4 linked regions of the Alligator mississippiensis genome follow. The protein of the gene in region 1 binds, or shares a complex with, the protein of each later gene. Links are inferred from orthologs where the notes say so. Each region holds a gene or a part of one and is shown in the gene's direction. Other genes may lie near its edges.

Region 1 (7,532 bases):
TGATATGTTTTTAAATGCCTTATTAAAACCACTGCAGGATTAAATGCTGAATGTGCTATCCAGTTTTCTACCCTGGCGCCATGGAAATGTGTCAAGTGTAAGATTGATGGCACTGCAGGCTTGAGTGAGGAGTTGTTGTGAAAGCCTGTGAAATTAGGTACAGTAACCACCCAAGGAATATAGAAAATGTCTAACCACAAACTGCTACTTATACAAATATGTCAAAATGTTCCCTCAATCAAAGAGGAATCATTTAAGTGGGAAGTAAATGTACCCAAAGTATTTTGTTGAAGTTCTAACGGTAGAAAGTTTATTTTGATCTTGTAAGTGGCAGCTGAACTATACTGTAAGCAGGTCCTGTTATTGTTCTGTGGGCTTGTCTCAAATAACTCCAGCAGACTATAATACCGCAAGAAGCAAACTAGCGTTTATTATATGCAGTTGATAAAAGGTAGCGGTATCACACCTTCAGAGTTGCATAAAGTAAGCCCCATATTATAAACGAATGTTGTACAAGTATTATGTAATATTTCAAGTTGCATAGTTCTTCATAGCACAATATTTTTTTATTTCTGTGTTAGAAATGTGAGTTTTAAACATTTCAAAGCCAGTTGAGAATTTGGCCACACCTCTTCCTCTCACATTCATAGCTGGGGTAAAACAGCTTTGAAAATGATAATGCCACCTCCAAGTGTTCGGTTTGACATGAACCGTAAGGCACCAAGATGCACTGGGGTAAGACAAGCAGTGTTTCAGTTCTGATATCATTAAGGTCTTGGAAATTGTTGCAAACTGAGTCTTTGCATTGTTTTCATCTGAATTGCTTTTAGAAGGTGCAGGACCATTCACATCCTGATGGGGAACTGAGAAGCTTTGAGGATGCTTCAGTATTTTGGATTTAGTGTGAATGCTTCCCTGTGGTAAGAAAAGACACACTGCTTAAGAACACTGGATAGAAGACTTGTCTTATTTTAACATACACAAAATCCTGTGGCCGCATCTTCAGGTCTTGCACGTCCTCAAGGTGCTCGCAAAATATTAGATACGTGCACACTCTCAAATAAGGGTGTGGATAGGTGAGCAATAAGTGTTCTGAGGAGGAAGCAGAGACTTGACTGTGATTCAGTCTGACTGCTCTAGCTTTCTGTTCATCCTGCACTAGGCTAAAGTTGAACTGGGGCAGTTTACCCTAAATGAAAGAGCATTTAATTTACCACGGATCAGTCATTTACTGCAAGGCTAAAAACAGACATTGTGTTTGAGGTAGTTCTGACCTGACTGGCACATCCCTTTAGCTTGTCCTTGGAATGAATGGGCTGCGATTGTCCTGGGAAACAGCATTAGCACATCTTATCTTGGTACTTCACGGGTACTTGAAGTGGGACAATGGGTGTGTGGGACTAGGATCCCATTACAAAAGGCTTTTTTCTAGAGAAGGGGCAAGTCTGTTTTTAGCCCGAGACGAGACAGAAGAGGTGGATCAGATCAGTTTACACTTGTTAATGCTGAGCATTTTTTCCCCTCTTCCCCGTTCTCTAAGCAGTTAAACTGCCCACTCCCTAACCTACACTTTGCATCTAGTTGTTAACTGCATTTTAACTTGGAGGAAAAAAAGATGTGGCCTGCCTTGCAATGATGGTAGTTGGCCACGGGGTGGGGCTTCAGTTCAGATGTTTAACAGGGAGTGTAATGCTGAACAAATTAAATGGCTCCCCACTGTTCTGTGAACAATTTTTGTAATGCTCCTGCCACAGAGGAGTGCCACTGAGCAATTCCTTTACTGAGCTTCGCGCACACAATATTGTTGCATTGCTCCAGGTGCTGCTGCCTGACTAAAATTGCTCCTCTCGCCATTCCTCTCCCTTCACGACACGGCGATTGTGACCCGTTCTGTGTGTTGTCCTAGGTTAACTGTACAATTTAGGAAATGACTCTATTTTTTTTTTCTCCCTGCATGGCAAAATTGGCTGAGGAGGTTAGTCCTGAGAAGTTGTTTAAATGTACTGTTGGAAAAATAAAGATCACAAACAAGTTAACTCTTCTTAGTTTGTTTTAAATACACTCTGGCTGGCCTGGAAGAAGGAGATGCTAGATTTTCCAGACTGGTTTTATTACTACTTTATGGGGATTTTTTTGTAAAGTAACCCTCTCCTTCCCCCCCCCCCCCTTATTAAGTCATTTTTACTCTATCAAGGAATTGTAATTCTCAGGGGTTGGAATGAGACTTTTCAGGCTGGTGCATGTGGTAATGTTTTGCACTTTGCCACCAAGCACTTCAACAGATACTGGTTAAGCTTTGAAGCTCACGAGGCATCTCTAGCAGAAAAGGAAAGTGCTGTTTGGCTGGTTGATTTGTACAAGTATATCTGTTTTTGGAGGGTTCTTAGACCTACTTTGGAAATAGAGATGGGACAATACAGAAATCTCAGTTCTGATAGGGTCTAGCAATTACCTCTAGTACAAGAAGAAATACTGTGTGCTTGTGTCAGAGAAAAGTCTTGTGAATCTGTACTGTGGTGGTCCCAATACTTGAACATGCAGTGTATTTTTTTAATGGGAGTGTAGTTCTTGGCACAGCTTCCTGTGTCAAAGCACATCTTTAAATATCATGTTTCAGGACAGCCACTGTGAATTGTGAAGTCTAGCCATGTTTTATTTAGCAGGGATTTAACAAGCTATTGGCTTGAAACAATATGGATCAGACTTCACCAACAGCCGTTGATAGACCATTGCTCTGTTTAGATGTCCAATATAGGGATTATTTTTTTGTTTCCCCTCTAAACAAGCTTTTGGTGAATCTACCTCCATTACTATTACTGCTGGAGGTTAGGTTATAGGTCTAAATCAAGGTGATAAAACACTAAATATTCTGCAACAAGTAAACTTGCTGTGGGAAGCACAATTACAAATTGAGCTGTGGAGGAAGGGAGGAGAGCTGGCCTGTTCAGTGTTTCTTCATGCTGATCAAGTTTTGTGCTGATAGAGATTTGTGTGCTGTAAGATTAAAAGTTCAAGTAATGAGGAGGGCTGTAGTCCATGCACAAGCAAGGATGGGATTTTTCTGATCTCTGCTTAGTGCTAAAGACAGACAAGACGCGCTGGCAGGGCCAGTCCAACCATTAGGTGAATTAGGCAGTTGTCTAGGGCGCCAAATTGGGGGGGGGGGCACCAAAATTATATGCAGAACAAAATAATGGGAACATCATTCTAAATAACAGCCCTGTCTGGCTACAGCTCTACCTTGCATCACCTCTGCCCCCGGTGCTGCTAGTGCCCCTCTCTCGTGGCCAGCACACCCACCCCACCGCTGTACTGGAAATGGTGGGTGCACAGTTCACCTAGGGGCACCAATTACCCTTGGACCACCCTGCATGCTGGTATCTTGAGCAAGAAAAAAAAAATCAGCGTGCCTGGTATTTAAGAGGGGATGTGTGGGGGAAGGATTTTGGACATTTGTCCTTTAGGACAGAAAGCGCACGTGCAGAGAGAGATGCCAAGACTAAAGGAAAAGGTACAGGGAGCTCTTTTTAATGTGTCTACTTCTCTGCATCTTTATTTCAGAGATTACCTCGCTTGAGCACCGACCTCGTGTTCACAGAAGCTTGTGCTTTCCTTCTGTCTTAGTTAGTCCATAAGGTGCAGATCTTGTAGAACCATAGGGAAGGCAGGCTGGAGCAGGTCACATCTAGTCCAGCACCTCGCCAACACAGGATCATCCCTGGCTAAACCATCCTACCCAAGCACCTGTCCAACCTGCTCTTGGAAACTTCTGAGGACGGAGACTCTACACTTCCTCTCCGCCCCGTCCAGGCCTTGGCCACCTTCCTAGCTCAAATGTTTCTTCTCATCTCCAACCTCAATGTGCCCCTGCTGCAGCTTAAGGTGGTTGCTCCTAGCCAGTTCCTCAGGGTAGAGGCTGTGTCCTGAACTTTTCCCCTGCACCCCAAGACCCTGTCTGCTGGGGTTGTGACCCCACTTGGGGTGGTGATCAAGTTTTGGTTTGCTGCCCACAGGCAAGAGGAAAGGCAATGCTAGGCTGCACTGCATGAGGTTTCCTTGTATGTGAATATAAAAGGGGGGGGGGGGGACGACCTCGTCTTGCATTCCAGTAAATGCACTATCTCCCGCTCCCGACTGCTGGGGTCTCTGCTGCACGTGGCTCCACCCAGCTCGGCAGGCCACGCCCCCAGCCTTGTATATGTCACATGACTGAGCCTGACGGGCCGCACCATCTCTCCTGTCACCGCGGGGCTTGGGGGGGGGGGGGCGGTTGCACCTTATCAGGCAGAGCAGGACAGTTGTTCCCACCCCTCTCCCTACTATCGTCAATGGGCTCCGCCGCTGCACCCTCGCGTGCGACCCGCCGCAGGCGGCCTTGCCACGCCAACGCTCCCAACCCCCCGCGAAGAAATGGTTCCGTCCTCAGCCTGTGGAGTGGGATAGCCTCGGGTTGTACCATACAAACAGACGGGGGGGGTATGGTGGGTTGGCAAGACGAGCGGAGAAGGTGACGGTGGGGGACGGGGCGGCCGTTGTGTTCGTATCGCCTCCTCGCTGCCCGCCGCGCTCCTCAACGGGCGCGAGCCGCACGGCTTGGGCAGCCGGGCACTTCCCCCCCCCCGTCAGGTGGTATGGGCCGCCCTGCCAGGCTGTGTCAGGCGGACTGAGCCACGGGACCGGCCGGGCGGGGGGACCAGGAGGCGCCGGGTGAGTGGTCGCGACCCCGGGGCGCGGGGAGCCTGGTCCCTGCTGGGGGCGGGGCACGGGGGGGGCACGTCACTGCGGGCGGTCAGGATCCCCCACACGGGGGGCTGCATCATTGCGGGGGGGGCAGGACCCCCACAGGGGGGTTACGTCACTGCGGGGGGGGCAGGACTCCTCACATGAGGTTACCTCACTGCACGGGGACCCCTCACATGGGGGTCACACCAGTGCAGGGGGAGTCACGTCACTGCTGGGGGGTTGTTTGGGGGGGCATCCATGTTGGGGGGTGACCCCTGTGATGGGGGGTCTGCCCATAGGCCTGCTGGGGGGGGGCAGGGACCCCGCATTGGGCCCTGGGGTACGGGAGGGCCCAGCGAGGGGCAGGGGCTGCTGCCCCCACGGGGGGGGGATTCAATGCGGTCACAGCGGGGGACTTGGGTGCTCGCTCTGTGGGGACAGACGTGCTGGTGCTGGGGGTCACCAGACCCCGCTGTGGGGCTGGCCAGGCCAGTGCTCCTTGGGGGGAGGTCAGGTCCCGGCTCGGCCACAAGCGCTCCCACAGCGGGTCCCAGCTGGGGGAGGCAGGTGCCCCCCTGTCCTGGGGAGAAGCCAGGTGCCAAATGGGCAATTAAGCTGATTTAATCAGGTGTGCTGCAGGGTGGCTGGGGAGTCGCACGGGCTGGGTCAGCCCCGTGCCCTGCACTAAACTGACGGATCCACTTAGTGCGGAGACACATAGCACGGCCAGAAGTATGATTTGTGGCCTTGTAGCTGTGCACGGCCTCAGGAGACAGGAGCCGAGCCGGTCTCCAGGCTTCCCGCTGGGGGAAGAACGGGGCTAGTGGCAAACAGGGCGCAGGGTGTTTCACTCTGTTCCTTATGCTGACATCGCTGTTTCCTTCCTCATTTGCAGGAGGCCTGACGGGCAAGCCAAGCTATCGCAATGAATGCTATCGTTGCCCTTTGTCATTTCTGCGAGCTCCACGGCCCTCGCACCCTGTTTTGCACAGAAGTTTTGCATTCGCCCCTTCCTCAAGGCGCGGGGAATGGAGACAGTCCTGGGCAGAGCGAGCAGGCCGAGGAGGAGGAAGGTGGCATTCAGATGAGCAGTAGGATCCGGTCGCACAGCCCGGCGGAGGGTGCCAGTGCTGACTCCAGCAGTCCTGGGCCAAAGAAGTCAGACATGTGTGAGGTAAATGTGTGCCCGTGTCTGTACACAGTGTGTCCTTGGCTTAGATAAAAGGCATTACAATTGAAGAGGAAAACAAATAGTTCCCACACCCTTTTAAACTGTAATGGGTAACAACTATTTCACCTCCATTGGAAAGAAGCCAGTTTCTAGTTAAAGTATCACAGTTGTTTGCCAGTGCCTTCATAGAGATGTAGAGCAGAAAGTAAGTCCTACACCCAGGTAAAGTAGCGGTGGAAGTGTAGTTAGCAGCACTGATGTTTCTGTGCACGTGCTCTTCTGCTTAAGTCTTCTTGATACCTTTCGTGAGGACTTGTTGCTAGGTGTTGGTTTCTCTCGGGTATCACTGACAGATGTTAAGTCACTGGAGTCGCAGCTACTTCCATCATTAGGTGAATTTGAAGTTGCATACGCAACATAAAATACGTGGCTCTGTGCATGAGTGAAAAGAGCACTGTAGGAAGGATGTTTCAAATGGCAGGATACTAGTTGGGAGACTGTCACAGACTTTCTTTCTGGTTATGGGCAAATCCCTTAGCCCCTGACTCTCTTGGTTCCCATCTATCAAATAAGGATAAGCAAAGGGGATGTAGTGAGGCAGAAAAGGTGGAGAGAAGAGTTCAGGTACTGCAGTAACAGAAGTACCTGGTTACGTTAGGTAGATGGTTGTGTCCTAACTTGGTGGTTTTTTGTGTTCAGGGTTGCCGCTCCCTTGCAGCAGGACACCCTGGATATGTCAGCCACGACAAAGAGACCTCAATCAAATATGTCAGCCACCAGCACCCAAACCATCCACAGCTCTTCAGCATTGTGCGCCAGGCCTGTGTTCGCAGCCTGAGTTGCGAGGTAAGTGATGTGGGAAACAGAAAGAAAATCTGTTCAGGGACTTCTGTGCCTTTTAGCGTAAGGCACTACACTGCTGCTCTCACCCTTGTAACAGATGGGGACGGGGGTAGAAGGGAAAGCAAAACCACTTTGAGCCAGTTATTGGCAGGAATTCTTTTTTTAATTGATCTGGAAAAGAAGAAAGTGTTAGTTTGCGCCTGTTCATGAGACACAAAAAGGCTGTTAGTGATTAAGTTAATTTGCTTTAAGTATTTCTGAACTCTTCTGAATGGATCTTTAACTTTCCTCATTTCGTCTGTATGTGGGAGAACCTCCGTTAACTTGAGTGTTTGTGTCTTCACCTTATGCTCTTCAAACTTATCAAGCTTTGAGAGAGAGGGTTGGGGGGGACATGATGCTGTTTCAGTTAAATGATGTGTTTAAACCAGTCTCTCCCTTCCAGGTCTGCCCAGGACGTGAAGGTCCCATCTTCTTTGGCGATGAACAGCATGGCTTTGTGTTCAGCCACACGTTCTTCATCAAAGACAGCCTGGCTCGTGGCTTTCAGCGCTGGTACAGCATCATTACAATAATGATGGATCGGATCTACCTCATCAACTCCTGGCCTTTTCTGCTGGGAAAAATCCGAGGCATCATTGATGAGCTTCAGGGCAAAGCACTCAAGGTGAATCTGCTCTGGAGAGAATTCTAATAGCAGTGAGTGCAAGAGGGGTGGGCAGAATAGATACATATGCATTGATTTGGAAGAGGAAGCAAAATGCAGGATGTACAGTTGGAGTTGCAGGAGGAGTTT
Region 2 (7,898 bases), on another chromosome or scaffold:
GCTCAAAATGCTTCAGGAGCTTGAAAGTAATTTTAAGATTTAGCCCTTAGAGAGAACATGCAAGGAAAGATTTTCAGTAATAATCAGCGTTTGTGGCTGGGGGTGGGTGTTCAAAAAAGCTCAGTTCCACTAGGAACTTCAGGACAGTGATCAGATTGATAATGAGCTTTTAAATATGTTTATTAAAACTGATGAAGCATCTGATTTGGTGTCTTTGTGTCCTGAATTACCCTATCAATTAGGCAAGTGTTATGACAAGAGGCCTAGAGGGTTATGCAGAGTGTAATCAGATATGAAAGATGGCTTCATGAACAAAAATAAGCCTAACTTTCAAATCCAGTTAAATAAGTATAAGCCATGAATTAAGGTTTTGGGGTTTTTCAACACAGTAGAGTGGAAGAACAAGTAAACAATGATCTGTGACTAGTGGTAGCTACTTCAAAACTTATGTTGGTTTCTGCTTGTCACTATTAGAAGGCAGGAGGAAATAGATATGAAAAGCTTGGAATGGGGAGGAAAAAACAGCCTTTAAGTCTTCATACACATTTGGGTTTTTTGTGCGTTTAAGTGTCAGTGAGTACACCTACACATGCATTAATGCATGGTAATCTGTGCTACTGCGTAGTAACGCTGGCACACATCTTTTACATGAAGCTAATACGCAGTTAACTAATTGTATGGCACATTAACATGGTTTTCGCCGTGACACAGTAATGCACAGTAGAATTAATCTACTGCACTTCTAGCATCTTGTGTAGATACACCCAGTATGTAGGACCAGGCCTAATCTTTTAGATGATTTTGTAATCTTTCTGGAGCACTTCAGGCTTCCTCACTACTAAAATAGATTTTTTTTTCTAGATTATTTGATTTCTTCTAAGCATGTTAAAAAGAAATGTTCCTTATATTAAGGATTCTGTGAAGTGTGTTTTTTTTTAAAGCTTCTCTGCATGTATAATTTCCCTGATCAGTACATGATTTCTTTTCTCTTAATACCAAGGTTTGCTGATCTCGGGGCCAGTAGATTTGTGACTATTGTATGTGCACAGATGTATAGGTGTACATACTTTTATCCAGCTAATACCTCAAACTTGTGATTTGTTTAATATTGTACCTCTGTAAGTTTGCACAGAACAGGGCTTTCATTAGCACCAAGAAATTATCCATCCAACTTTGGTGGGTTCTGTTGTCACTGATCTTAAAAGGCTTATTTTTTCCAGTGAGTGAGTGACATTCTCATTACAACATTTGTTCTCAAAAGAAAATTATACCTGTTCATTCTGCACTGCAATCTGAAAGCTGACAGGGTAAAAAAGCAATTCTCAGCTTGAATAAAATATGAAATATCTGTAATGTTAAGCCATTTTCAAATCCATTTATGAACCTGCTGCTGGCACTGGCTCTTGCTCAGCTGAGACAATGATATTTTAAAAGCATTGCTTGGTTTAAAAATCTGAAGGAACTTGAATATTTGTTCTCTAGACTCTTGAAACAAGCACCACAGTAACTGAAAATAAATTGTGCTCAAGACCCCTCTAATAAATTTAATGGAAGCCTTGCAAAAGGACATGCAGTGAAATGAAGTTGGCATCTTAAAAAAGATCTTATATTATTTTGTCTAACTCAGTAGCGCAGTCAAGATTTAAAGGTTAGGTTTTAAAAAAATACTTGTCTGATTTCTAATATATCTAATGTAATATCAGACTTATATTAAAATAAAATTATTTTCAGTGTGAAACTGTGCTACCATCTTATCTTTTTACCTGTTAAAAACATCTCTGATGACTAACCATTTTAGTTTTGCTTCATGAAAAGTGGTTTGCATTTAAAAAGGAAGTAACGATGTTATGGTATTCTCAGCACCACAAACTAAAGGCTAAGAATAAAAAATGTTCAGCTTAATAATCAAGTAGTCCTTTTTAGGGTAAAATGTTATGGCTACTAGATAGATGTTTGATACTACCATTCCTTATGGATTATTTTATAACTTGAGACTTCTCTAAACAGGCATGTAATTACCTAAAGGATGACCACCTATTTGAAACAAAGATTCTTATTTGAGAACAACATAATAATGATAATTAATTAATTATTTATAGTTTAATTTTAATTTATAATAATTTATTTATAATAATATTGTATTATTCATAAATACAACATTCCAGTGTATTCCAATATATTTCCTTTGGCAAATGACTTGAAAAAGAAGAGTATTGGGTGTTCATGACATGCTAGTTTGTGGTTAGTTTAAAAGTAGTCAAGAGACAGAGAAAAAAACAAGACTTGTAGGGATGAATACAGAATTAAGGGCTCTACCTCTTGCAGACCTCAGGACTGTGTTCAGTGATTTATTTATATATGCACCATAAACTATTTCATGAAGTGAAATCCTGGCCCCATTGAAGTCAATGATGTACTACTATTGATTTCAGTGGGGCTAGTATTTCACCCCTAATTTTGCTCATAATTATTATGTACAGCTAAATCCAACTTTCAGTGAAACAATGTTAACAGTTACATCACAGTAGTTACCTACTAGCAGGTGGCGGCCAAACAATGTTATAAGTGAACATTATGTGACTTTAAATGAGTATGTTCTCTAATAGCTTAATGAGGTAATAAAGAAACAATGTTAACCAGGACAACATTAAGTGAGGAATACCTGTATTTGGTGCACATATCTAAACTAATGTTAAAAAAATACCAAAGTTATAATTGTATATGCTTCTGAAGAAGGAATTATAGCTGTCACTTTTGAATTAAAAAATTATGTACTAGAGTGACAGTACACAAATGTCCTTCTGTGTGCTGAGGTGGGAATTAGTTTTATACTTTACAATGAACTGAAGCTGTAGGGGTTTAGTATAATCCAACATGTCTGCTTAGCGTATGTAACTAACCAGATAGCCTATAAGCTCTTTCATATAAAAGTGAATACACAGCAGTTCATAATGGAAATGAGTTACACAAAAAAAAATCTAAAACCTAATTTTGTCATGTTGGGGGAAGGTTTGTTTATAATGATGACTACATATTTCAGTCCTGCAAAGGAGTAGATAACTGCAAATATCTGTAATTTAAAACAATAAATGACACTGAAATATAAACCTCATCTGGAAAATCTGCCTTACAGTTCAAAATTATTTTTAAATTTTGGGAGAAAAATGAAAAGGGCATTAAACAGCCACACTTGTCTTCTCTAATTAGATAATCTGATTTTCATCCTAATTGCTGTTTTTATTAATAAAGTAATTAGATTTCTTAAAACAAATGCTGTTTAGTTGAGTGGCATACATGATCACAAAAAAAACTGTCTGTGCCTATAGCTTTTACTGAATTTTATACAGTAGGTAGGAACTATGACAAAAGGAATGGGTTATGAACAGAGATCCTGGTTTTTTCTATTTAAAAATCCAAATCTCTCTGACTATAAACCCCAAAATCTGTGTTTTTACACAATTAAAATGAAATGACACTCTATAGGGATCAGTTGAACACCACATTTTGCTGATATATTTACTATTCTAAAGCAATTTGAAAGCCTACCAGCGCCTCAGTCATTATAATAAATTCTAAATACCTATATATTTTGGCATATGATTTTGTTTTTTTATTATGGAAAATCAGAACTCCCCCTCCCCCTTCACTCATCAGAACATGGGTCCAGTAGTGGTTGCCCGCCCCCTGCTGCTTTATGGCACTGAGCAGCCCTAATATGCCGCTGCCCCTCACTCCCAGCCTACAGCCCTCCTAGTGCCCCTCGCTCATGACCTGCTGCCCCCCACCCGCAGGCCCCAGCTCCCCCAAGTGTGTGAGGAAGGGGGTGGGTGTATGGGGAACAAAGTGCATGTGTGGGGAAGGGGGTGTATGGGCGTAGGCAACAGGTTGGAGGTAGGCACAAGCGATGTGGCGGGGAGTGGGGGTATGTCCGCCTTGGATTTCTGTGCCCACAACAGGGTGTGGGGTTGCAGCCTGGCTAGACCAGCTCCAAGTAGGATCCGCCTCTGCAGTACAGCAGGCAGGACCCAGTGTGGGAGGGAGCGCTGTGCTACCAGAGACCAAACAGGTGCAGCAGCATGGAGTTGGGCCTGGGCCTGCTGCTGGGTGGGCAAGGGGTGCCTCACCTTGGAGGTCATGGCAGCATACTGCTCTTCCACGCCGGGTCCTGCCCACTGGGCCATGGAGGTGGCTCCTGCTCATTTGGTCTGGCCTGGCTGCAGCCCTGACTGAGGGGGCATTTGAGAGCAGCCTTTAACTACCTGAAGAGGGTTCAAAAGAGGATGGAGCTGGACTGTTCTCAGGGGTGGCAGGTGACAGAACAAGGAGCAGTAGTCTCAAGCTGCAGCAAGGGAAGTTTAGGTTAGATATTAGGAAAAACTCTTACTAGGAGGCTAGTAAAACATGAGAACAGGTTACCCAGGGAGGCTGCAGACTCCATCCTGGGAGGTTTTTGAAACCCAGGCAGACAAAGCCCTGGCTGGGAGGATCCAGTCGGGGCTGGTCCTGCTCTGAGCTGGGGGTTGGACTAGATGACCTCCTGAGGTCCTTGTCAACCCTAATTATCTGTGATCCAACTCTGCGGTCTCGGCCCTACAACAGGTGACCTGACACCCTGCCACGGGACCTTCGAGCAGCAAACAGCAAAGGGCGCCCGCCCGGTCCCCCAGCCCCACGTTCCCTTCCCAGGGCGAGCCTCAGCCTACTTCCCAGGCAGCGGCCCCGGCCCCGGCCCCGGCCCCGCCCCCCTCCGTCGCGGTTGCCGTGGAGACGCGGCGCGCCGGCTTCGAGCCACGCCCAGGCGGTGCCGCCCCCGGCCCGGCGTGCTATGACTCCTCCCGCAGCCCGTAGCTTCCTCCCGGCGCGCGCAGCTCCCACCCCGTCCTCCCCGAAGTCGGAAGTGAGGCAGCGGCGGGCAACCGCTTCCGGGGCAGGGAGGTGGCGGCTCATGTGACTCGCTTCCGAAGAGGAAGCAGTAGAGTCGGGGCTGCTTTGCGCGAGCCCGGGACGAGCCGTCCGCCTGTGGCCAGGGTGAGGCGGGCTGGGGGCCATCCTTCCCCTTCCCCACAGAAGGGGTCTGGCGGGGGCTGGGCCCGACGGGCAAGCCTCCTCCTACCCCCGGGGCAGGCCTGGCCTGTGGCTCCGGCGGCGGTTCTGGGCCGCGGCTCGGTCGTGACCCGCGGCGCTTGTGTTGTAGAAGCAGCGGCCGCAGCACGGCGGAGCGGAGGCGCCGCAGCATGGCCGACGTGAGTGCGGGGGCAGGGGCCTGGGGGGCGCGGCCTCCCTCCCCAGCTGTCTGCACCGGGGAGAGGGGTGGTGGGGGAGGTCTCCCCGCGTGGCTGAGCTGGTGCCAGGAGTCCCCGCCTGGAGGTGAAGCAGATTTGCTCTCGGGGGCTGCCCCCCCAGAAGAAGGGATGAGGAACCTCCCCTCCTCACCAGGAAACACCCCTTCTTAAGTAGTTTTACACTTGGGGCACAGGCGTGTGCTGGCCAGGACCCTGCAGCTGAACTGTGCCATGCTTTTCTCTCTTTCTAGGACCTGAAAAGGTTCCTGTACAAAAAGCTACCAAGGTAACACACGTGCATCATGTGGCCTCCTGGTCTGTGGATGGGGGAGGTCCCGTGGCCTTTGGGGGGGTGGTGCATGTGGTGTTACATGGGGGGAGTGGGCACCACCTGGCCTCCAGGTGGGGGCAGCAGCACAGCATCCCAGGAATTTGACGGGTGCAGCATGTTCTCTTCTGTGGGGGGAGGGAGGCTGGGGTGTTACATGTCCTCTGGAGGTGTGGCAGGGTGTCGTGTGTCATCTAGGGGCATGGTGGGCAGTCATGTGACTTCCTCAGAATTTCCTGCGGTGGATCATCCCTGGTGCTGCTCTGTGAAGAGTGTGTGCTGCTATTTAATTTGAGTCACTGTTCTGCCTGCAGCAGAGCTCACTGTATTGTCTGTGCTGTCAGGATGCTTCAAGAGCCACTGGGTGTTCTGTAAAGTGCTGCAGTACCCCACGATGGAGTCATTCTAACAGAGTGTCTTTGGGCACAAAAGCACATGTGTTTACTCAGTTCAGTACTTAAATAGACCCTGCCAGCTCAAAATGTAGTACTCTACCCACAAGACGCCCACATCCTTGAAGTAGGCTGAGGTATAGGGCTGGAAGGGACCTCCAGAGGCCATCTAGTCCAACCCCCTGCATGAGGCAGGATCATCCCTATCTCAGCCACCCCATGCAATCCATTATCTGAATTCTACATGAGACTACCATCAACCTTAACACAACACAGCTCAAACCTGCTTTTCATTGTGCGCTACAGGGAAACAGTATGCTAGAACGGATAACTTACTGAACTCAAGGGAAACGTCTGTTTTGTTTCTTTAAGGATCGGCGGTTCTTGGTAACTTCTGTTTCTCATAACTGCAAGTAGCTAGCCTAAGGTATTGATTGATATCCCTAAGTAGATGTGCTCTGTGACTCTAAATGCAGTGAAGCCTGCACTAAGGGTCATCTCCCATAGTAATCCTCTTCTAAAGCTGAAAGGCCCACATGAGGGGTCTTGTTTTTTTTGGTACAGTTACCTTCGTACTTCTAAGATGTGCATAAACACAGCACGATGTGAATTTTGCAGGTCTGTTTGATTAAGCAAGGCTTTAAGTGATAGCAGTGGGAATGTGGTGACATCCTTTTTCCTTGCAGTTTACTCACACTTGCTTTTGTGTACTTTGTGGCAGGCCAGTAGGGGGCACTCCTGCACTGAGCCACCCACCTCACTGCGCCTGACCACCTACCACCCTTCAAATGCCTCCCTGGGGATGCCTCACATCTGGCTGACCCCCTTCCTGGAGCATATCCGCTAGCTTGGCATTTACCCCCGCCACTGCCCAGGGTTGCGTACACACACCGTGTAGTCCTTGAGGGTACTCAACCCACTGTAAAAGCTTGGGGTGCTTCCTTTAGCCTGAAGCACAAAAGCAGCCTCCCTTAGTCAGCCGGACCAAGGGGGCACAAAGGCATGCCTCTCCCAACAAGTCCACCAGACTTAATACAGTGAAGAACTTTATTGGTTACAAAGGGGAGGCTTGGGGGAGGGTGCAGGATAGAGAAATACTACAAAATAACTCTTAAGTAAACAGTGGCAAGGTCGCTTTTGTAACACAAGTGCGTGATCTACAGGCTATATATTTAGTTGGGTTCCGAGTGGTTTACTCTCAAGTATCATCCAGAGGCTGATAGAGCGTTGCTTTGGAGGCAGACAGTTTGTAGTGTGTCCACATGATGAGAGAGCTGCAGATGTTCAGCTGCTCTGTGTCTTCATCATGGCTACAACCCCTCCTCCTGGGCAGTCTTGGCATATATAGGCCTTTTGACATCATGTACCTGATCCAGTGAAGGCCGTCACTTGGTGGCTCCCAGCCAGCCAACTTGAAGTGCATCACTGGTTACGGAGCAGAGGGGCAGGGCTCCTACCTCCACCTCTAGTCATGAGGTCCTTGCTAAAACAATAGCAAGCTTAAGCCCCCACCCTGGTACCTGTCCCCAGGCACATAAGCAGAGTTGGTAGATGGGTAAGGGGACAATGCTGAGGAAAAAAAAGAACTGGTGAAAGGAAGACGGGGAGGAGGCTGGGATGGAAATTCTCCCCAATGCTCATGTTCTTTTTCTCTCTTTTTACAGTGTTGAAGGTCTTCATGCTATTGTAGTCTCAGACAGAGATGGTGTGCCTGTTATCAAAGGTAATTCACAACTTCTAATGGTTGTGTAGGGTTTTTTTGGAGTAGTGGTTTTTTGTTTTCTTAAGAAAAATAAGGCTGGGGGCTAAGAGGGAGCGCTAGATTAAATGATCCTGCCTTTCCGGAGGTCTGTGTCAAAACCAGTGATTCTCAGCTGGGGAGTTGATTCTTTGAAG
Region 3 (6,521 bases), on another chromosome or scaffold:
TTGTGTATGGCGTATGAGCACCTGTTGTGCGCAGGTGTGTAGGTCTGTGAGGCAATGATGGAGTAGGTGCGTGCAGTGAGTCCTTGCTGTGTACAAGCATGTGCACCAAGGGATCCTGGGGGCTCAGGGACCCATTCTGCGTGGTCAGGCATGCCATGTGCCCTGCTGCAGCTCTCTGGCGTGATGGAGGACCTTTGTCTCTGTTTCATATCTCCGCATCCACAGAATGACAAACTTCCCTCTCTCCAGGTAATTCACTCTGCCTCCCAATCAGGCCCTGTGCTGCTCTGACAGATGGGATTATACTCAGCTCGCCTCCCTGCTGGCAGTGCGAAATATCAAGAGGGACATTAGTCTCCTTGCTTCTGACTTTCTCATCAGGGAGCGAGTGCTGATGCCCCAGAATTGATGTCCCATTTGATTTAATATACAGGACCTGACATGCAATTCAAATTGTTACATAGGGAACCTGGGACTGACCAGCTGGGGCTGTGCAGGGGGCGTGGAAGAAGGGTGCTGGAGTGTCACATCCTTCATCTCACCAAGGGAGAGGGTAGTATCCCTTTCAAAGCACTGGGACCTCTCTGCTGGGCCCAGGGTCTGCATGATAAGATGTTGCCCAAATCCAGGCCACACTGGCTTTTCCCTGGATTTGACCATATTACTTCTGTCTTTGGATTCAAGGCCCTGGTTTCTTGCCCAAAGGGGGAATCAAACACTTCACGTCCTGCCTCTTCCCTGCCTTCTCCCCCCACATCCTTTAATGCTTGTAACCAACTACCTGCTGCAAGAGGAGGCCAAACCTCACTGTGCTCTGGTGTGCCTGTCATCTATGCAGGAAGAGACAGGTTGCAGCCAGGTCTCTGCCTCTTGTCCATTAATCTCAAAGCACTTTACAAGGTCAATTAGCCATGCTTCTTTCAGAGCTGGGGGGAAACTGAGGCATGGAGGGGTAAAACAGCAGATTTAATGCTACATGGTAAATCAGCAGCAGAGCCTGGAATAAGCTCTGAGTCTAGAGCCAGTCATAATAATAAAGACACCTTGCTCTCGCAGGGGACTTTCCTCCCATAGATTTCAAGGCATTTTACAAAAGAGATGGCCATCATTATCCTCACTTTACAGATGGGGAAAGCACAGGGCAGAAGTAACTGGCTCTGATGACCCAACACACCCTGTTCTGGAACAGGGAGGAGAACCCAAGAGTTCGGATGCACAATCCCCTCGACGAACCACTCAAATCAGCAGGCCTGCATTAGTTTTGTGCACTGAGAAATAATTCAGCATAAAGGGGGTGAGTTAGCTGCCTCGGGTGATGAAAATAGTGTGGCCTCGGCAGCATGGAGCTCAGCAGAGACTAGCTGCCTGAGTATTTACCCAGGATCCTGAATGAATCTCTGCTGTTCTGCTGTGAGTAACCTGTTAGCAGCACCCTGACCAGCTAGGTAAAAGCTAGTTCAGATATGTGTATGTGTACTGTATATATATATATATACACATATATGTATACACACACACACACACACACACACACACATATATATATATATATATATATATATATATATATATATATACACATACACATCTGCTCATGTATGTATGTGAGCTACAGTCACCCCTTGACTCCAATGTAGATATACCCTGAATGGCCTTCCAGATGCGGGCACTTGAAGCAGTGCAGGGGGGGATGTGGCCCATCGATTTGAACAGGCTTCACATGGAGCGAGATGCTGTGCTGGGCGAGTAAGAGTTACAGCAGGGGTGGGCAAAATGTGGCCTGGGGGCCGGATGCAGCCTGCCAGGCCATTCTATCCAACCCGCGGGGCCCCTAAAAAAATTTAGAAAATTAATATTAATCTGCCCTGGGCTGTCATGTGGCCCTCGATGGCTTGCCAAAACTCAGTAAGCGGCCCTCTGCCCAAGATAATTGCCTGCCCCTGAGTTGCAGGGAAGCATGCGAGGAAGCCCTTGTGGCTCATCTGCATCTTTCAGGAGCTGAAGCCTCTATAAGCACAAGCAACAGCACCAACCTAATAACCCTGAATATGATTTATTTAGCCACCCACCGAAAGGTTTCTGAAAAGGATAGAGTGTGTGTGTGTGTGTGTGTTCCTGTTCATGTCCATGCTCGGGAGACCTAACAAGTCATGGCAATTCATCACGCATGAGTTTTTCATGCGAACCTGTTGGGGGGTTTCTTTAACACACCTCATTCCAAGCCTTCACATATGTATTATTAGCAGAACAACAAGCAGCAAGGGTCTCAGTTCGGATCTACACCTGTACAGCTTCAGGTCTGCTTAGCACTGCAGCTATTCAAAGCCACGTTGCGTAGGGAGCGTGAAATGATCACACCTCTTAGGTGACAGTTATGCTGGCAACTTCCCCGGCAGCTACGTAAAGCTATGTCAGCAGGAAGGATGTAATGCAATAAAGCACCTAAGCCCAGCTCTATAGATTCTGGATCTGATTCACCATCACCACATAACTCGCGTCATCAACGCCAGCAAACGTAAAACATGACCTTGCAGCATTTTACGCCCACCTTACAGCAGTGTCACTGAGTGATGACACAGTATGTAGGATAACAGAGGATTGGCATGGGGGAGAGACTCAGAAGGCACATCCCTCATCTCATCTTTTTCTGCTGAGGGATCTCAGAGTCCAGTCATTTCTGAGCTACTTCTGGCTGGCTGAGGGCTTAGATGGCTTGCCCTGCAAACAGCACACATGTGCTACTCCCTTCTGGAGCAGCCATGAATCTGCGCATGGCGTGGAAACTGCTCTTAGCTTGGACATGCTTGTGTTGGTGCTGCCCACTGCCAGCCTGCTGTGCTTGGAAAGGTCTTCATGGACTGGATTTCTCTGGGTGCACACTTCCAGCCACAGGAGCACTGGTGTTTGGGCTGAAAGTCAGGCTGGGCTGCGCACTGGATATGATCGCCTACATGCCAGCTGTGGATATTGTGCAAATGATGCACAATGTGCTGGTGCAGGATGTGGATTTAGTGCCCTCCAGTGGGGAATACAGGAAGGGCCACAGCCACGTCCCTTCTGTACTGTGCCTATTCCTCTGTCACACAGCTAATTAAAAAGTAGACAGTAACAAATAGCTGCCATGTCCTGGGGAGACGACTTACATGGGATCTAAAGGGGAGTTGGGTGGGGATGTAAAGGTGGCACTGGCAGCTTGGACAACGGCGGTTGCTTTTCCAGGGCCAAGCAAGTGTTCAGAGCCACTGCTGCAGAGGAAAGCAAAGCACTCATGTGTTATTCCCTGGTGCAAAGCAGTGACCAGGAGAAAGAAAACTTCCTGTTGTCTAACACAGTCCCCTGCCCCCCCTCCCCCCATTGCAGTACAGCAGCTTATCCTAGGATGCAGAACAAGGACTCAAGGAAGTGAGGAGTCACGGCTCTGATTCAGCTGTGAATCAAGGCCACAGCCTGGGCGGCAACCTGGGTGCAGTTTGATGGCCCTGCATAGGCACCAACTTTGGGTTTTGCCGGTGGACGCTTGCAGCCATAGCAAAACAAAATGGTAATTCACTTTAAACTCGGCGCGTTCCTGTGCTGAGCCCAGAAGAGGCAACGCAGCATTACTTCAACCCGGCTCTGCAACATCGATGAAGACTGGGCACTTTAGTGGCGCTTTTTGTATCTAATAGCTGATTGAATTGGCTTTAGCTACAAGTGTCAAAACGCCCTGCTGAAGCGCTCAGTCTTTACTGATGCTGCAGAGCCGGGTTGAAGTAACATGCTACCTCTTTCGGTAAAGCGTGGGGGGCTGGGGTCCTTTTTAACATCGGCAAGCAGGAAATGGCTGTGGCTCTTGGGTGCTGAGCACCCACTCATATTTTTCAGTGGGTGCTTTTGCCCCAGAGCACCCACGGAGTCGGCGCCTACACAGGCTTCGCCCCTGGATGAAGGCAGCCAGGCCGCGCGGAGCTTTTGGGCTCCTCTTCCTCAGAGCGGGGTCAGCTGCTCCCCGCCCCCAGCTCCCCAACCCTGGCACCCCCAGCCCTGGAGGGGAGGCGCAGCTCTCTGGACTCAGTACACCTCTCAGTGCACCCCTCACTGGATTCACTGCACCCCTCACTGGTCTGCCTCAATGCACCCTCATTCGACTCCATGCACGTCCGCTGGACTCCATTTCCCACGCTCCAGCCTCAGTTCCAGCAGCACGGCTGGCAAATCCCGCCCTCTACACCTTTCGCGTTACGGGGAATCTTGAGGCTCCGCAGCACCCGTCCGGCAGCTCCAGCGCTTATCACGTGACGGGCGGCAGCTGAGCGGGGCGGAAGTGACCGAGCCTGTGGCGCCATGGAGGGGGCCCTGGAGCAGCACCTGGAGGACACGTGCGTGCGGGGCCGGGGCCGGGGCCGGGGGCGAGGCGGGTCGGGGCCGGGCGAGTGACCGAGCTGTGGCTTTGCCCCGCAGGATGAAGAACCCGTCCGTCGTGGGCGTGCTGTGCACGGACTCGCAAGGGCTGAACCTGGGCTGTGAGTACCCCCCCCCCCCCGTTTCCATAAGGCGCCTGGCTCGTGCCAGGGGGCAGATGCTTGCCCTGCCCGCCAGCCCCGTGCTGGGCAGGGAAACCCCGCCCCAGACCCAGCACCAGCCCCGCGGGCTCGCTCCGTTTGGCATCCTGCTTCTAGCCCGAGCACCTGCATCTCCCAGGAGATCTGACCCTACTAAAGCACAAGTATCTTCAGACCCAACTCAGGTGGGGGAGGGGGAGCGTGGGCGCGTTGGCCAGCACTTCTTTAAGCAGCTCTCAGATCATTTTGGGTGTCCTTGAGATGTTGCGGAAGACGGCCGAGTTCGGGAAGACATTCGGCTGAAGTACAAAGCAGGTGTGATTGGCGATTGCTGTCGAGACACTTGTTTTGGTGAACTTGGATACAGATCTCTCTCGTGCCCTGCAGGTCGCGGGACGCTTTCTGATGAACACGCAGGGGTGATCTCAGTTCTGGCTCAGCAGGCAGCCAAGTTAACTTCAGACCCCACTGATATCCCTGTGGTGTGTCTGGAATCGGATCATGGGTGAGTGTCTGGGTGTCCATCCTTGTTGCTGTTTTTTTTTTATTTTTCCTCCTTGGTTTGCTCGAACGCTTCTGGGACTGGGATCTTAGAACTGCCTCCTTCATCTCCAGGTGGCTTTTAAGTTTTGTGTGTCGCCGCTTGGAAGGAGGTACAGGGCGAGAGGCACCTCCTGCAGGGCCTGCGCCAAGGGAACATCGAGAGACTGTTCCTGTCCTTTCTCTTGAGTTTATCCAGGGATTGTTTGTTAGGAATTGGGGGGGGGGGGGGGGGTCTCAAATGAGCATCTTCTGAGACTGCGAGAGACCCATGTGTCCTTACAATCACTGGATGCTCATTTGAGATGCACCCCCCATTCCTGTTTCTAACTGTACTGCTGGCTTTTTGGAAGTGGTTAGAATGACCAGCTAGTGTCACTTTTGCATTGTATTTATGACTACCGAAGCAATGCTATGGTGCTTATGTTCCTGTTTATAATCAATTTTTACAAAGGAAGTTAGGTAGACAGACTTGCCTTCACAGCCCACCTAAACACTCCAAGGTACTTCCAAACTTTGAATTGCAAGGAGACTCTTGGAAATGTTATGTATCCTACAATGATGTAATTAGTAAAGATGGCAAGCCAAGTATTTCTTTCATTAGATCTTATGTGTAATCTTGCCTCTGACACGCCACGGCATATGCTAAACCTAAAGGCATTTCTAGCACTGGTTTTGAGATGAGCTACTAGTCTTGGAAAATTCTAACTGTTTAAATATTTGCTGTTTCAGGAACATCATGATCAAGAAGCACGATGGCATCACTGTAGCAGTGCACAAACTGGCATCTTGACCTTTCACCAGTCTGCTTGGTTGTTTCGACACCCTTGCAACAACTTCTGCTTGTTGGACTCCTACCTCCCTCTGTAATATAGCATGTGCTTGTAAAACTACACGTGGGCCAACTATTAAATGCTTGGTAACTTTCCTGTGTGTTTAGACTGCTACTGTATATCGGTCAGCATCTTTAATTTCCAGCACATTACAGGACATGTACTGTCAAGTGTAAAATGAGGTTTCACTTATTTTGCTTCTGTAATGAAAAGGTATAGTATGTGGCCTTACATCATTTATTCATTTATCCAATGAGTGAGAACACATGCAGTGAGTTCAACACTTCAGTTGGTAGGTGAAGTGGAAGTACACCACTATCTAACACTTTAGAGAAAGACAGAAGCTTAGGAGTCACTATTCCTTCCTTTCAGGGAAGGTTACTTCCTGCTTATTAGCAGTCCCTCAACTTTTTGGGAAGATAAGTTCTGTTTTCTGTACCTTAGGGGGTGGCGGGGAAATCAAACTCATTCAGGCTGCCTTTTGACACCAAAGTCAAAAAAGCACATGCCCCATTCTTCAAGTCCCTTTACAGGAAACCTTTAATCTTGTCTAGTTAAAGGCAGACAGCTTTGTTGTATTGGAAACATCTTGGATTAAAGTTTAACT
Region 4 (7,491 bases), on another chromosome or scaffold:
TTAGATATAGAGAAAAGTTGGAAGAGCCTGTTTACCTCAAAGTTATTTGGCACCAACAGCGCCAGGCATTCGATACCCTCTAATCAAATGCATCTCTCCCCTGTAGCCTCCCCTGCTTGCCCAATCCCGCCCCCACCTGCCAGTCACCTCAGTCCTAGCCCTGAGTCCCCGCTGCTATTTCAGTATAGCCCCTGCCTAGGTGCATCCTCAGTGCTCCTGCACCAGCCCAGCCCCTGCTTGGAGCCCCAGGGGAGGAGATTCCCCCGTCCCCAGGCAGTTTGTCTCAGTGCCCTGTGGCCCCAATGGGTGGGAAGTCCTTCCTGAGCCCTGCTCTCAACAAACCCATTGCCTCAGACCCTGCCCTGTTCAGCTGGGGGCACTGCCAGTCTCTTTTGCTTTCCAGCAGCCTCTGACCCCTGCTCCGTCTCCTGTCCTCCAAACCACACCTCATCCTCATTCTTTTTTTATATAGCGGCACTGCAGCCCCTTTAGCATCATCATTGCTCGCCTCTGGATCCCCTCCAGCTTCTCTACGTCCTTCTTAAAACGTCGCCCCCCAGGCTGGACACAGTGCATCCTTTCCAGCGGTCACTGCCCTGCATGTGGCTATTTGGTTCGTCTGTGTTGAATTTCATGTTGTCTATCACCCAAGTCTCTCATGCCAACCCTGTTTCACAGCAGCATTGGGAGGTGGACAAGCATCAAGCAGCAGAAAGGCGGTCAATACACTAAAGAGATTAATTTTACCCATCATTTAACCAGAGCCAGGGTCTGCAAAGAGGTCCAGACCCATGCATTCAGCCTCCGGCCCTTCAGCAGGTGAAAGAAGCATTGCTATGTTTTATCCTTGCCCTCGTGACCTGGTACTCACTGGACTTCAGAGGAAATTGCTTTGGGGAAGAAAGGGAAAGTTACAGGACTCTCCAGGCATGAATCAGAGCAGGACAGTCGTGTAATTAGCCAGTGACTTGAGCCAAAAGCTTCAATTACACGCTGCTCTCAGTGTGGTCATGGCAGGGCTGGAATTGCAGGCGCATGGGACCTTCCTGGGATCTTGGCTGATTCCCCCACCATGACTGAGAGAAGACCGAGGGGGATTGAATAGCAGCCTCCAACTCCCTGCAGGGGGTTGCAAAGAGGATGGAGCTGCACTATTCTCAGTGGGGGCACATGACAGGACAAGGAGCAACGGGCTCAGGCTGCAGCAAGGGAAGTTGAGGTTGGATATTAAGGAAAATGTTCTCATGGGGAGGGTACTAAAGCACTGGAACAGGCTCCCCAGAGCGGTGGTAGAGTCTCCATCCTTGGAGGTTTTGAAGACCCAGCTTGACAGGGGGTTGGACTAGATGTGACCTCCTGAGGTCCCTTCCAACCTGAATTTTCTATGAGTTCTTGACTGGGCTGGGAAATGATGTAGCCTTCTAGCTACAGCTCCTGATGGTCCGGGGAACAAGGGGCTCCCTAGTCCAGGGGAGTGCTCTGCAGGGCATTTTCACTGCCTTGTCCAGGGCTGTTTAGACAGGCCTGCCCCGAGACAGGGTTCCTGGGGCTGGAGGTAACTGCCTCAGTGCAGCGGTGCCCAAACAGGCATCTAGGGAAGAGACCCTGGTTTGGAACAGGGACAAAATCTCCCCAGTTAAGACAGACACACTTTGGTTCCTAGGGGCTTCCCACCACAACCCTTGAGCAGGCATTTCTGCAAGCTACTGCCAGACAGAAAATCCCCCTTCCTTTTTGGCCTTCACCTAGGAGCGTCCAAAGGGCAGAGGAATGAGGCTTCTGTAGCTGGGAACTGCTCTAGCTCTGGCACAGAAGCACCATGTGTCCTTGACAGTGTCCCTTGAGACTGCACTGTCAAACGTTGGCAGCCGCAGTCCCTCTTGCCTTCCCTGCGGCAGGGTTGGGTGCGATGCCTGGTGCTGTGTCCGGTGACTGTTGTTTTGCTCAGAGGTTGGACAGTGAATTTGCCTGGGATGGTTTGGACAGGGCTGATGCTACCTCAGGCAGGGGGTTGGACCAGACGTGAGGTCTCTTCCAGCCCCACTGCTCTCCCAGGGGTCTGTGATCTGTCCAGTTTGCGCCCAGCCGGCAATCTTGAGAGCCAGGATGGAAAACAGCTCCCTCTCCTGTCAGTATTTCAGCTCTGCAAGGCTAATGAGAGTCACAGCTTATTATGGGGAACATCAAAATCATGGTTTGGAGCATTAGCAGAATTTGCAGGGATTACCAGGGATTAGCTGACAGGGGTCACAACGTGAATGCTTCTGCTATGAGGCTGGAACCCCCCCCCCCCAAACCAAAAAAATGGACGTTCCAGCAGCTGAGTTCTTGGCACCGGGGGGCTGACGAACCATGGCAAAGGTGGCAATGTCTCAACCGCCTGCGTACCAGAGTTGGATACTCCAAGGAACTAACGAAGAAGTGAGGATATGCCATTGGGTCAACCCCACCTGTGACTGCAGCACAGAGCCTCAGACTATGCAACACATGCTGCAATGCCTGCTGCTTGAAGGCACGTGTAAAGTAAGAGATCCCGCAAAGTAGAAAAAATGAGCAGAAGCATGCGTAACAAAAAAAACCCGGTCAAATGTGGTGTAGTGACATGAAGAGAAGAAAAAGATGGGGAACTTCAGCTCCCTAGAGAATGGCATGACAGTGCATGAGAAAGGGTCAGGTGCTGGTCATCTCTGTACAGAAAACGGCTGCTGCCTCAGGCAACTGTGGTGATAAATTCCTATCTGCAAAGCATCCAACTGACTGGCTGCAAGTCCCGTTTCCCATCGGCTCGGAGATCCCAGGCCTCTATTCAGCAAGCTAACGGAGAGCAGTTACTGCCTCGGCACGCACAAAGAGGTCTGCTAAAAGCTCTCGAAGGCAGGACTAGAGCGTGCTCTCTCAGGATACACACGTGTAGGTGTGCATGATGCATTGATCTGTGATGCAAGCTCATGCAGAGAGCAACAATGCCCAGACACTTCCAGTAGCTCCAAAGGACCAGGATGCGGTTCCTGGGGATGATCACGGACTCGATTTTCTCTCTCTCACCAGGGAAATATGCAAGAGCAGGCAGGGCCTCTCCGGTTAGCGGCTGGAAATAGCAAGCAGGAGATGTGGCCCATGTGGGAGGCCGAAGAGGAACAAGCTCTGTGGCTCACAGGACGGAGAGAAGGGTAAAACTGAAATCCACTCTGCTTCTCCTGCCTCGGAGCCTCACAGCCTCGGTGGAGAACAGACCTTTTACAAGGCAAGGAAGGAAGCACTAGGATGAGCTGGGGTTAGGGGAAGTGAAAGAGGGAAACAGCCACACCAGCCTGCCCTCTGCTTGGAAAGGAGCAGCAAGGAGCAGAGGAGCCGGACCTCCAGGCCACTGTAAATAAAGCTCAGCCCGAGGCTGCCTGCGCTCCATTTACCACGTGCAGCAGTTGTGTGTCCTGTTGATCGAATGGGGACAGTCAGGTGCATCACCCAAATTTCCCTTCCTGCTCTGGAGACACAGGAGGTTCCTCAGCACAGAGGTGTGCCAGCTCCAGACCTGCCCCCCACAGCTGGGGTTTGGCTTCGTTAAACACAGGAATCCCTGCATCGGCTCACGTACAACACACGCCATTTCCCCCAAAAAGCAGGGGCTGGGAATAGGGGTGCACGTTGTAGGCAAAGAAATATGGCAATAGCAGTTTCAGTCACTGAAGCGTCCACGTGGCACAAGCCACCCCATCCACCGAGAGCGGAAGAACGAACCGGGTTGGGCTCCTTAGCTGCTGCGACTCAGTGACTTACAACAGGAAAGACCTTTTTTTGTCTTCATTCACGTCATGTGCAGGGGAGTACAGTAAAAAAAGAAAAAAACCCACGCTAACCATTGCATTTAACCGCTGCATGTAGTGCAGGCGCTCCCCAGCAGGTTTCGCAAGGTGCCCCTGCCACTCTCTGGGTGGGGGAAACCAATCCAGGACACCACGGTCCCGGGTGCATCCAGAGAAGCAAGTGCAAGTCTCCCTCTCAGACACCTGCACCCCAAGGGTGGTGGGTGGGGGGGGGTTGCAAAGAGGACAGAGTTGGGCTGCGCTCAGCAGGGCCAGCTGGCAGGACAAGGGGCAATGGGCACAGGCTGCAGCAAGGAAAGTTGAGGCTGGAAAAACTCCCTCACTTAGGAGTCAAACAGAAGAAAGAGTCTCCACCCTTGGAGGCGCTGAAGCCCCAGTTAACCCAGACACCCTGTCTGAAAGCACCCCACGCAGCCCCAGGCTCTTCTATAGCCCTGCCCCCTATCACGTGACCCAAGGGACGCGCGGCCGGTTCCCCCCCCCCGCCGGGCTCCGGCCTCCCTCGCCACGTGACCCCCAGCGGAGCGCGCCGATTGGCCCCCCTCTCTCTGTCTCTCTCTCTCTCTCTCTCTCTCTCTCTCGCTCTCTCTCCCCCTCCCCGCCGGTCACGTGCCGGGGGAGCGGCAGGCGGGTCACGTGCCCGGAAGCGGCGGAGTGGGGCCGGGGGGAGTGGCCGCCTCTTTTCCCCCCCCCCCACTTCACCCACCCCATCTCCTCCCTCCCGCTTGTTGTTGGAGCGAGGGCTCATGTGACCGGGGCGGCCGGGCCCAGCCGGACAGCGCCCCCCGCCCCCGCCTCCCGGCCCGGCCCGGCTCGGCCCGGCCATGGGGTGCTGCTACAGCAGCGAGAACGAGGCCTCCGACCAGGTGGGGGAGGGGTCCCTGAAGGGGGAGGGGAGGGTTTGGGTGGGAGACCCTCGGATGGGAGGGGCCTAGAGGGGTCCCTGAAGGGGGGGGGATGGGTAGGCCCTTGGGGAGGGGGGGCTTGAGGCCTCAAGGGAGGGACTTGGCACGGGGAGGGGGCGCGGGGCAGGAGGCTGCTCGCCCCGGGGGGGGGGGGGGGGGCGAGGTTGGGAGCAGCGCTGCGGGCTTGGGGGGGAGGGTGCCCCCGCGTGCGTGGTGGGCTGGTGCGTGGGCGGAGGGGGGTGGGGCTCTCAGTCAGGGCTTGCCACCCTGCGGGGTGACCTAGGAGGCGGGGCGGGGCCGGGGCCATGGGGTGGGTCTGCCCTGACCCTGGTGGAGACGGAGGCTTTTCCCTTCGGAAGGGGGCGGGTTTCCTCTGCGGCTGCTGTGGGCAAGCGAAGGCAGCACCTGGTCGGTCGGGTCCCTTCCTCCCCCGGTCGCTGCGTTACAGGCTGCGGGGCGAGCGGGGGGAGCCTCCGCTGCTGGGTCGTTTCTGGTGCCAGAAAATGAGGGAGCAGGCCGCCTCTTTCCACTGCTTGCCCTCCGCGCTGCTGGTCGGGGTGCTCGGCTTGGGTTCACCAGGGCTCGGAGGCCTCGTGCCTACAGTGGCACGGAGCTGGGCCCCACCGCCGCTCGTCCCTGGCCCTTTCCTTGTCGGCGCGCTGGTTCGAACCCAGCACGAGTTGCCAGTAGTGCCGGTGTGACGGCAGATTCGTAGCTGTGCAAGAAGTTTAGGGGCCTCCTTTAAATTCCCGGTAAGCTGGCGTCGGCTTTGCCAAACCCTTCAGCAGAGCTGACGCTAATTAAATCCCCTGGTTGGCAGCCTCGACAGAGACCGGCTTGAGCCTTGGAGACGGTGTTCCCTTTGCACGCTTACAGGTGGCTCTCGCAGAGCTGCCTGGGGTTGGCTGGCAGTGCGTGGTGGGTTTTGGGAGTGGGATGGGTAACCCTGTGGACAAAATCTGGTTCAGCTGGTCCTTCCTATTGGAACAAAGCGGCTGCAAAAGTGAGATGGGAGGACCGCAGACAGCATCTTCCTTCGCTCTGTGGGAGTTATGTTTTATCCTGGTCTTCTGGCCTTTTCCCAAATGAATGAGCTCAGGACCTCTCTGAATGTAAAATAAGTTTTAAGTGTGGCCACCAGTTAGTGGGAATCAGATATTTGTAAGGAGCGTTGGTTTGAGTTCAACATGCACCGGAAGGACCGCTGCGGTTCTGGAACGTGCTTGCTTGCGTTCGGTGACGGCCTGCACATCCCGGTCCAGATAGACTTCTAGGTGCAAGCGTGGGGCAGAGATTTGGACCTTGTTCTTGGTAGATTAGCCAGCAACTGATGTAGGGAAACCAGCCAAATGCAGGATACCCCATCTCCTCCAAGCCTTGCACACAGTGGTATTTACCTGGCTTCAGGGGGTAAGAAGCTGCCCCCTGTGTGAAGTCAGTGCATGCATGTTGGACAGACAGGAGCTGCTGCTTAAATCTGTCCCAGGAAGACCCCAGATTGCGTCTCATAGCACCTAATCGACAGCTATCCAGTGACATTGGAGATAGTGGGATTGCCAGAAGGATGGAGATGGTAATAATATTCTAGGGTTAATTAATGACTGACTTGGCAGCAAGGCTGCTCCTCAATCAGAGCTGTGTTTCCTTTGCTGAGAGCTTGAAAGGACTCTTGTTTTTGAGGCTCTGGTGATGTGGTCTGGCTTTGAATGGGGCACACCCGAGTTGCAACAGGAGTGAAGCGGGGTGGAGGTGTATAGGCAAACCCAGTGCAAGGGCTTGTCTTGACTAGGTCACGATCCAGCTGGCTTTACCAAGCACCTGGTGACTGAAACTGGCCCCTTCTGCTGGTCTGGTGACAGTTGAGCCATCCCAAGGAGGTACTGGAAACCCAGTGCTTAGTCAGTGGTGGAACAGCTTGCTCAAGCTTGCTACTGGAAAGTCTCGCTCTGCATTTGTCTCTAAACCTTCCTTAATTTCCTTACTTCAGCTGTGCAGAATCACCATGGAGACCAACCGGGCCAGACACTTATTTGCCCTTTGTCCGGAGAGTTTAGTTGATTGCCTAGACTGCCTGAGCCTGCTTTGCTGGAGCTGATGGCCCTGATACCTCTCTGAATTCCTCCCCTCCTAGGCCTGCCCGTACACACATTTGAGGGCGTTCATGTGTAGTTGGTGCAGGACACACCCTTGCAAGCTCTCATTATTCAGCTGTGCAAACCCAAGCTTGGCCCCTTCTTCCCTAGCAGGAAAGGCAGAACTTTCACCCATACAGGATCCGGACCTGCCTTTTCAGTCCTTCCGCTGCGTGGATGTTCCTGGCACTGCCTGGGCCTAGACGCTGCCTCCCCAGAGCCCCTCGGACTGGAGCAGATGGGGGTTGGGTTCAGGGTGGCTTGTCACAGCCTTGGGAGCGGATGCGTGTGCATATCGGCATGGGTCCGTGTTCTGCACTTTTCCACCCCTCAAGTATAGGCATAAAACACTGTCCCGTGCTCTTATAGTAAGTGACGAGGCCCAGGCAGTGAAACATGGGGAGGAAGCAGCTGAGAGGCGTGAGCTCTCCCTTCTCCAGGGTGGGCTTCTCTCTGGTGCCTGGGGCCCATGATATGACACCAGCTGGGCCTGTTTCCTGCCTGGGCAGCACGGGCCCTACGGAAGTCTCCGGCTGTTGTGGCCCCCTCCAAAATGGGAAGTAACCAAGGGCTCATCTGCAGTCAGCTGCTGCCACAGGGAAGCCACTAGACTGCAAGGCAGTTGCACAA

The links.
Region 2: FLCN (region 1) and LAMTOR3 share a complex: the UniProt entries of both Homo sapiens proteins name them as parts of the lysosomal folliculin complex. The link is inferred for Alligator mississippiensis from reciprocal best matches to the Homo sapiens genes FLCN and LAMTOR3.
Region 3: FLCN (region 1) and LAMTOR5 share a complex: the UniProt entries of both Homo sapiens proteins name them as parts of the lysosomal folliculin complex. The link is inferred for Alligator mississippiensis from reciprocal best matches to the Homo sapiens genes FLCN and LAMTOR5.
Region 4: FLCN (region 1) and LAMTOR1 share a complex: the UniProt entries of both Homo sapiens proteins name them as parts of the lysosomal folliculin complex. The link is inferred for Alligator mississippiensis from reciprocal best matches to the Homo sapiens genes FLCN and LAMTOR1.

The regions. Positions count from the first base shown.
Region 1 is NC_081836.1:54,402,737-54,410,268, reverse strand, and holds the start of FLCN (folliculin), read left to right. Parts: upstream 1-4,526; 5' UTR 4,527-4,707; intron 4,708-5,617; 5' UTR 5,618-5,647; coding exon 5,648-5,896; intron 5,897-6,592; coding exon 6,593-6,739; intron 6,740-7,181; coding exon 7,182-7,403; intron 7,404-7,532. UniProt on the Homo sapiens protein: Multi-functional protein, involved in both the cellular response to amino acid availability and in the regulation of glycolysis.
Region 2 is NC_081825.1:161,212,274-161,220,171, reverse strand, and holds the start of LAMTOR3 (ragulator complex protein LAMTOR3), read left to right. Parts: upstream 1-4,889; 5' UTR 4,890-5,028; intron 5,029-5,034; exon of another isoform or gene 5,035-5,194; 5' UTR 5,195-5,234; coding exon of another isoform or gene 5,235-5,243; intron 5,244-5,533; coding exon of another isoform or gene 5,534-5,568; intron 5,569-5,733; exon of another isoform or gene 5,734-6,308; 5' UTR 6,309-7,619; coding exon 7,620-7,725; intron 7,726-7,898. UniProt on the Homo sapiens protein: As part of the Ragulator complex it is involved in amino acid sensing and activation of mTORC1, a signaling complex promoting cell growth in response to growth factors, energy levels, and amino acids.
Region 3 is NC_081837.1:34,933,779-34,940,299, reverse strand, and holds LAMTOR5 (ragulator complex protein LAMTOR5), read left to right. Parts: upstream 1-4,252; 5' UTR 4,253-4,323; coding exon 4,324-4,358; intron 4,359-4,440; coding exon 4,441-4,502; intron 4,503-4,928; coding exon 4,929-5,046; intron 5,047-5,813; coding exon 5,814-5,874; 3' UTR 5,875-6,008; downstream 6,009-6,521. UniProt on the Homo sapiens protein: As part of the Ragulator complex it is involved in amino acid sensing and activation of mTORC1, a signaling complex promoting cell growth in response to growth factors, energy levels, and amino acids.
Region 4 is NC_081824.1:477,691,799-477,699,289, reverse strand, and holds the start of LAMTOR1 (ragulator complex protein LAMTOR1), read left to right. Parts: upstream 1-4,491; 5' UTR 4,492-4,648; coding exon 4,649-4,690; intron 4,691-7,491. UniProt on the Homo sapiens protein: Key component of the Ragulator complex, a multiprotein complex involved in amino acid sensing and activation of mTORC1, a signaling complex promoting cell growth in response to growth factors, energy levels, and amino acids.